Macaca fascicularis: one gene and its partner. The protein of the gene in region 2 interacts with the protein of the main gene of each other region in a biochemical or structural test. Links are inferred from orthologs where the notes say so. Each region holds a gene or a part of one and is shown on either strand. Other genes may lie near its edges.

Region 1 (4,501 bases), on a different chromosome or scaffold from region 2:
GGAGCTGGGGAGGAAGGGAGTGTTACTCAGTCATGTAAACAACCTCTACCAGCCTGCCTTGCCACAGAACTGGCCTCTGGGGGGAGGCCAGGGGCAGGGTGAATCGATGCCAACACAGCCCAAGTCCGGCCCAGTGCCCGCTCCTTTAGGACCCTGCTCCCCAGGACCCCCACTATTCTCAATTGGTAGAAGGCTCTAGGCCTTGCTCATCCCTTAGGAGGAAGGCTTCGGGCTCTTCAGGGCTTCCCTCTGTGGGGATGGTGGTGTGACTTGGGACCAAGCTAGAGGCATCCAGAACCCATGGCTTCCATGGGATGGGAAAGAGGGAGTGCAGCTTCTGTCCCAGGCAGGCTGAGGATGGCTTCCGAAGGGAGCCAGGGTAGCTGAGGGTGGGAGGTGGGTGCCTGAGGGGAAGGGAAGCGCCCGTTGGGCGTGTGGGTTTCTGTGTGAGTCTGAATCTGTCTGTGTGTGTTTGAATCTGTCTGTTTGTGTCTGCACTGGAACCACCCCCGCAGTGGAGCCGGGATGCTTCCTCGGGTGGAGGGTGCCCTGCTTTTCCATTTCCTCTCCTCCTCTCTGTGCTCTCCCGGGAGCCACTCCCATGGGCGCCTCTCCAGCCCCTGGCCTGGAAGCACCAGGAACCCTGGGGATGGGGCAAACACTCACAGCCCGGGGTCTGGAGCCGGTGTGGGAGCTCATCTGGGCCCATGACCTCTCCAGACATTTGGCGAAATCAAGGCCCTTAGACCAGGGACAGACCCGAGCCCAGGCCCTCCCAGAGGTCCTAGGCCGCAACCCTTTGTGCCCTTGGGCTCTGGAAGGGGTTTGGGGTGGAAGATGGCAAAGAGCAGCTTGACCAGGTGAGGATGAGGCAGGGCAGACACAGGCCAGTGGGGCGTGCCATGTGCCAGAGCTGGAGATGACCAGGAGCCAGTGGCCCGGCAGGCACAGCCCGGCTGGCGTGGGCCAGAGCGCCCATCACTGACCCGTGAGAACTCGTCTGCCCCTGCCAGCTCTGGCACTGCCCCCTCCCAGCCACCCCGCCCTAGCACCCTGGGGGGCACCCCGCCCCACCGTGGCCTGGTCCGGCCCCTCCCGCCCTTTGCTCCAGTTCCCGGGCTTGGCACCTATAGTGGAGGTGCCGCCCGCCTGCCAGGCTCCGGGGCCGGGCCCACGGGAGGGTGGGGCGGCTGGGAAGCTGGCACGCTGCCCCGGGGGAGCCTCTCTCGGCAGGCGCCCGGGTGCGGCGGGGGGGAGGGGGAACAAAGGGCTCATTCTCCCCGTGCGCAGCCGGTGGCATCGCCGGGGCGTTGGCGGAAGCCCCCGGGGCCCGGGAGGGGGCAGGCCCAGGCGCGGCCGCCGAATCACGGGCTCCTGTTTCCCGCAGGGTGCTGGAGGAGGAAACCGGCGGAGCAGCTTCCCCACTCTCAGTTGCGCGTCTGGCGATGGCGATCAGAGGTCCTGCTGCGCTCTCCGCCGCGCTCTACCTCCATTAGCCGCGCTGCGCGGTACTGCGCCCTCGCCGGTGCCTCTCTCCTGGGTCCCAGGATCGGCACCCCCATCCAGGCACGACCCCCTCCCCCGGCCCCTCGGCCTTTCCCCCCACTCGGCCATCTCCGACCCGGGGCGCGTGTTCCCCCCGGCCCGGCGCCTTCTCTCCCTCCGGGGGCACCCGCTCCCTAGCCCCGGCCCGGCCCTCCCCGCGGCGCAGCACGGAGTCTCGGCGTCCCATGGCGCAACCCACGGCCTCGGCCCAGAAGCTGGTGCGGCCGATCCGCGCGGTGTGCCGCATCCTGCAGATCCCGGAGTCCGACCCCTCCAACCTGCGGCCCTAGAGCGCCCCCGCCGCCCCGGGGAAAGGAGAGCGCGAGCGCGCTGAGCAGAGCGGGAGAACGCATCCTCGCCCGCCGGCCGGGAGGCCCCGGAGCTGGCCCATGGGGAGCAGGCGCCCGGTGCCGGCCACGACGACCGCCACCGCCTGCGCCGCGACCGGCCGGTGAAGCCCAGGTAAGCACCAGGAGCGCGCCGCCTAGGGACACTCGTGGAGGGGGATTTCTGAGCCGAGCCTGCGGTGCCCGTACGGAGTGAATTCCCCGTGCCCCTCTGGGCTGGGCCACCCATTCTGACACCTGAAAGTTAGGATGCCCGACGCGGCCAGACCACGGCAGAGCCGTGGCTCCAGAAAACCTGGGCGCCCTGTGCCACTGCGCCGTCACCTCCTGCCTGGGGCTTCGTCGCGCTGGCCGAGGGGACCGCGCCAAGAGAGCGCTGCCGCTCTAGTGCCACCTGTCATACTGGTCCCTTGTACGCACGTTCAATTTTCCCTCCCTTGCCTCTCTCTGGGGCCCAGCCCGCTTTCCCCGCCTCCTTCCCTCTCCCCTCCCCGCCAAGCTGAAGTTTCCAGCGGCGGTGGCGGCTGCCCTGGCACTGCTGGCAGGGCTAGGGCAACTTGACCCATCCAGCTGAGGCTTCTTAATCCCCCTCCCCTGTGCCGGCGCGTTCTTCCCGCTGGGGGCCAGGGCGGGGTTCCTAGCCCCCTGCAGTTGTCCTGGGACTCTGCTTGAGAAGCTGAGAAACTGCAGGGCTCTGGGAAGAGGCTGACTCAGGGCCGCCCAGGTGTAGAGAGAGACACAGCCAGCGGCCCTGGCTGGCAGCTTTCCCCAGTGACTCCAGCCTGCCAGGCCTGCACTTCCCATGGCTACAAACCTGGCTGGGGCTGTAGGCTAGGGTTGGGCTAGCAGCACCCCCAAAACCACTGATTGCAGGATGAGAAGAATCCTCTGAGACGACCCAACCCTCAAGGGCACACTGAGGCCCAGAGGAGTGACAAGACTTGCCCAGGGCCATGCAGCATAGGACAGAGTCAGGCTCAGGATCCAGCCTTTCTCCTCGTTCAGGGCCTTCCACTTTCTGTCCTGCCTCATGGGTTGTGAGCAGATTCCTAGCTCCGTGAGGCCAGGACATGCCCTACTAGCCATGGCAGCCTCCGCTGAGGGGCACTGGCCTAGGTGGAATTTGGGGAAGGGATGATATCCCCATACTGGAGGAACAAGATGCGTCCGGCTGCATGTGGAGAGGCAGCACGGTGCCCAGTTGTGGGCTGGCACTTGCCTTACTGGTTTGAGCTGCCTCGGTGCTGCCAGGGCAGTGCCCACTCTGTGCCAGGCAGTAAGGTGCTTGGGGAATGTGCCCCAGAAGCTCATGCTTTGATGGTTATGCTCCAGGGACCCCCCCTCTGGGAGAGCCCCATGAGGGCAGGAGAGTGATGGAGAGTTCGCCCAGCTTCCTGAAGGGCACCTGGGAGAAGACGGCCCCAGAGAACGGCATCGTCAGACAGGAGCCCGGCAGCCCGCCTCGAGATGGCCTGCACCGTGGGCCGCTGTGCCTGGGAGAGCCTGCTCCCTTTTGGGGGGGCATCCCAAGCACCCCAGACTCCTGGCTTCCCCCTGGCTTCCCCCAGGGCCCCAAGGACACGCTCCCACTTGTGGAGGGCGAGGGCCCCCAGAATGGGGAGAGGAAGGTCAACTGGCTGGGCAGCAAAGAGGGACTGCGCTGGAAGGAGGCCATGCTTACCCATCCGCTGGCATTCTGCGGGCCAGCGTGCCCACCTCGCTGTGGCCCCCTGATGCCTGAGCATAGTGGTGGCCATCTCAAGAGTGACCCTGTGGCCTTCCGGCCCTGGCACTGCCCTTTCCTTCTGGAGACCAAGATCCTGGAGCGAGCTCCCTTCTGGGTGCCCACCTGCTTGCCACCCTACCTAGTGTCTGGCCTGCCCCCAGAGCGTCCATGTGACTGGCCCCTTGCCCCACACCCCTGGGTACACTCCGGGGGCCAGCCCAAAGTGCCCTCTGCCTTCAGCTTAGGCAGCAAGGTGAGTGCAGGGGCAGAGAGGGTACCTGTGGCTCTGGCCTTGCAAAGTGGCTCGGTGGTCCCCAAGCTGCCCTTCCACTGTGATGAAAAGAGAAGGCAGCACCGAGGTAGAGGGGTCTATCAGCTTGGAGCTGTCCCAGGCCCACAGTCAACCCCAAGCAAGCCCTTCCCTGAGCAGCTCCATCTCTCTAGGCCTCCCCTGCCCTCAGGTCATTGCAGCCACTGACTCATCCATTGTCTGCCTAGGATAAGGTCCTGGGAACTGTGGCCTTGGAATGTGTGGCTTGTCCTGGGAGGAGATGGGCGAGCAGACAAGGCCTCTCTATCTAAGAGTGGGATGTGCAGGGGACCCCATGGCCCATGTCTAGGGTACCTCCCCCATAGATGACTCCCACTCCCAGGGATGAGATTTTAGAACACTTAAAACTCAGTATGGCACAGGACACCAAACGGCCCAAACAGACCCTGGATGCCCTTTGGCTGTGCCAGGCATTCACCCTTTAGTTCTTAGACTTCCTTGTGAGGAAGTCTGAGAAATCCTGGGGGAGGAGGTGGGGGTTGCCAGGACAGTGTCGGAGGCACTCCAGAGACCTAGGGCAGTGCCATTGATTAATCAGAGTGTGAGGGCTTC
Region 2 (3,802 bases):
AATACCCCCTACGAATCGCCTGCAAACTCTGTAAGGCAGAGCCAAGGGCGGTGAGGGGCACCTCAGCATCCACACACCACTGGGGCTCTGCAAATCAGCAAAGTAGGCATTTCCCTCTCTGCCTCTCCTTTTGCTACATCTCCCTTCAGGTTGCCCAGCTGGCCCTCAGCAGGTCTTCATCCTTCACGCTCCCTGCTCCCCAGGTCCCCAAGCTCCTCCCAGCCTGGCCCCATACCTGGGGAGACGATGCAGATGGCCATGAGCAGAACATGCTCCTCCTCATGCAAGTTCAGCTTCTTCAGTCCCACCTGGAACTTGATGAGGGGCTCAATCAGCTCCAGGTTGTGTCCAGCTGTGAGAGACAATGGCCAGGTACTGTGGGCAGAGCTGAGGAGCCGCCCACCCACCTCCAACCCCATGGGTCGGACCCTCACCCTTCTCTCCCTGTTGGTGCGTAACTCCCTCCCATGTGTCTGATTGGAGCCCAAACCCCAGGAGGGGTAGACACAGACTCTGGGCGCTGGAAAAGGTGGAGGTGGAGTCCAGGCATACCTTTGGTCACGTCACTGACGCGGTACTTGTAGTCCTGGTTGCCACAGGTCCAGGACATGTCGTCCATGGTGAAGGATTCATTGGAGCGTAACATGATGACCTCAATGGCACTTGACTTCAGCAGCACGATCTGGTCCTCAGAGGTGAGGTCTCTGCGGGGGAAGGAGGAAAGGAGGTCAGGTTACCAGTCAAGGCCTTCCAGACACACAAATCAGTTTAGCATTTTGACAGGTATACACCTGCTGGGCGCCAACATGTGCCCTGGGTCTTTCATCGAGGAGCTTGCAGCCTGGCTGGAAGGGACAAGAGTGTTCCTTGAAAGAGAACAGTTCAACACTGTGATCATGTGCCAAGGCCGGAAGTGAAGTAGCTCAGTTACTAAGACAAGGAAAACCCAGAGGCCAAGCAGCCAGAGCTGTGAGGCACAGGAAGACGGAGCCCAGGGAAGCTCCCAGCATTGAGGCATGAATACGGCGGTCTGCAAAAGGTAGGACCACAGTATCTTCAAAAGCACCCAAGTTTTCTCCTCCTCTCCCTCCTCCTGTCCTCCAGTCCTTCTCAGTAGTAAATTCAGCCAGCTTTGTCTCCAGGATGTCTCTCGAGCTGCTGATCTTATTTCCACTCCTACCAGGAGTGCTCTGGTTCAGAGCTCCAGCGTGTTTTCCAATAGCCTCTTACGGGAATCTCAGACTTGTGTCTCCCCAGTCTGTCATTCATCTTTCTTACCACTGCTGCAGGTCAATGTCCTCTTGTGCTCAGAAATCCTCACTGACTCTCAACACCCTAGGTTCAGGCCCATACTCCCTAACTTGGCTCCAACCTCTCATTCCAACTCCCTTTCCCATGGTAAACTCCACCAACCTTCCATTCTAGCGGCATCATGCCACTCCACATTCAGATGCTGTGTGTTCTCACTGTGCCTTTTTTGTTTTTCTTGAGACAGGATCTCACTCTGTTGCTGAGGTTAGAGTACGGTGTTTGATAATAGCATGTTATAGCCTCAAACTCCTGGGCTCAAGTGAGTCTCCCATCTCAGCCTTCCAAATAGCTAAGACTACAAGCATGCACCACCATGCTCAGCTAATTTTCTTTTATTATTATTTTTAGAGACAGTGTCCTGTTCTGTCACACAAGCTGGAGTACAACAGAATGATTATGGCTCACTGCAGCCTCAAACTCCTGGGCTCGAGCAATCCTCCTGCCTCAGCCTCTTAAGTAGCTGGGACTACAGGTGCATACCACCACACCTAGCTAATTTTTAATTTTTTTTTTTGTAGAGATGGTGTCTCACTATGTGGCCCAGGCTGGTCTCAAACTCCTGGCCTCATGTGATCCTCTCATCATGACCTCCCAAAGCACTGGGGTTACAGGTGTGAGCCACTGTACCCAGTCATCACCACGCCTTTGAGCATACTACAGCTCCAGCCAGGAATACCTTTCTAATGCTCCATTTTGTTTTTCTGGTCCTGAATCCACTGTGTTTTCCCTTGGAGCCCCGCACCCTCTGACTCTTCAGCACAGTTAGGGCCATGTCTTTGTGACGCATTGAACACTGCTGGTGCTCTTATTTTGCCCTTCTCCTCCAGTTCTGCTCTTTACATGCTTGTTTTCTACTTTTTTTTTTTTTTTTTTTTTTTTAAGACAGAGTCTTGCTCTGTTGCCCAGGCCGGAGTGCAGTGGTGCAGTCTTGGCTCACTGCACCCTCCACCTCGCAGGTTCAAGCAGTTGTCCTACCTCAGCCTCCTGAGTAGCTGGGATTACAGGCACCCACCACCATGCCTAGCCAATTTTTGTATTTTTAGTAGAGACAGGGTTTCGCCATGTTAGTCAGGCTGGTCTCAAACTCCTGACCTCAGATGATCTGCCCACCTCAGTCTCCCAAAGTGCTGGGATTATGGCGTGAGCCACTGCACCCAGCCACTTGTTTTCTACTCTTATTTGTAAGTTACTTGGGGGCCAGCACCTCCTCTTAATCACCTTACTGCTGCCCACACAATGATCATTGAGCCCTCAGCACAACAAGAGGATTAATAGAGATGCGTTGATGAGTTGAGAGGCCAATGACTAGTTCCACTATTCTGAGTCATGATTGGGCTTGTCTGAACAACGGCGAGGAAAAGGCAGGGCTCACAAATCAACTTGCTTCTGGCTTTTACTCTCTTTCTCTTCCTGACTGTCTACTTCCTTCTGGATATCCTGTAGATAGGCTGTCATCCCCTTGATGGCTGCATGTTTGTATATAAAGTCAGGAAGCCGATATTGACTGATGAGAGTGTTGTATCAATGGGTGATAGATGGTGGGGAATGAGAAGGCTTGCATGATCAGGATGGCCAGCAAAGGATCTATATTGAAAAAAATCACAAAGTGCTAGAGTTGGAGGGCCCCTCTTAGGAGCTCTTAGAGGTGGCTCCTACATAACCACTGTAGGACTCTCCTAGGGTCAGGGAGCTCAGGGCCTCTGGACACAGCCATGGAGTTGTTAGCACCGAGATTAATGGCCTCTTCTATTGAGCTACAACCCACGTGATGGTACACTCATTTGTGGTTTACAGTTTTGTACTCAAGAAACCCAGAACCAGACTTCTTCACTAGCCATGGGACTTCCTTCGAACCATAGCTAATAGAGTTTTTTAAAAAGGAAAACTACTGTGTCCTCCTTCAGATAGTCTAATGACACAATGTCTAAACATCTCACCATCCTTGTCACTTTTCTCTAGATACTCAATCCACATTTAAAAAACAAAAATGAACACCATCCCCATTTTTGATTTGACTCATTATACAAGTAAAACATACTCATTATCAAATCTTTGGAAAATACATAAAAATGTAAAAACAAATTAAAATTGCTCATAACCACACTTTACATTTCGGTGTATTTTCTTCCTGTCTTTTTTTTCTTATTTTTGTTTTTATTTATTTTAATTTTTTTTTTTTTTTTTTTTTTTTTGAGATAGAGTCTTGCTCTGTCGCCCAGGCTGGAGTGCAGTGGCGTAATCTCGGCTCACTGCAACCTCTGCCTCCTGGGTTCAGGCAATTCTCCTGTCTCAGCCTGCGGAGGAGCTGGGACTACAGGCATGAGCCACCACACCCGGCTAATTTTGGTATTTTTAGTAGAGATGGAGTTTCACCATGTTGGCCAGGCTGGTCTTGAACTCCTGACCTCAAGTGATCTGCCCGCCTCGGCCTCCCAAAGTTCTGGGATTATAGCTGTGAGCCGCCGTGGCTGGCACCTTCCTATCTTTTTTC

What was found.
Region 1: the proteins of VDR (region 2) and HR form a complex in vitro, tested with the Homo sapiens proteins (2 studies listed by BioGRID and IntAct). The link is inferred for Macaca fascicularis from reciprocal best matches to the Homo sapiens genes VDR and HR.

Annotation. Positions count from the first base shown.
Region 1 is NC_088382.1:25,200,355-25,204,855, reverse strand, and holds the start of HR (lysine-specific demethylase hairless), read left to right. Parts: upstream 1-1,429; 5' UTR 1,430-1,730; coding exon of another isoform or gene 1,731-1,835; 5' UTR 1,836-2,007; intron 2,008-3,224; 5' UTR 3,225-3,265; coding exon 3,266-3,871; intron 3,872-4,501. Other genes in the region: protein HRURF, read left to right, coding at 1,731-1,835. UniProt on the Homo sapiens protein: Histone demethylase that specifically demethylates both mono- and dimethylated 'Lys-9' of histone H3. May act as a transcription regulator controlling hair biology (via targeting of collagens), neural activity, and cell cycle.
Region 2 is NC_088385.1:54,589,542-54,593,343, forward strand, and holds part of VDR (vitamin D3 receptor), read right to left. Parts: intron 705-3,802; coding exon 553-704; intron 353-552; coding exon 236-352; intron 1-235.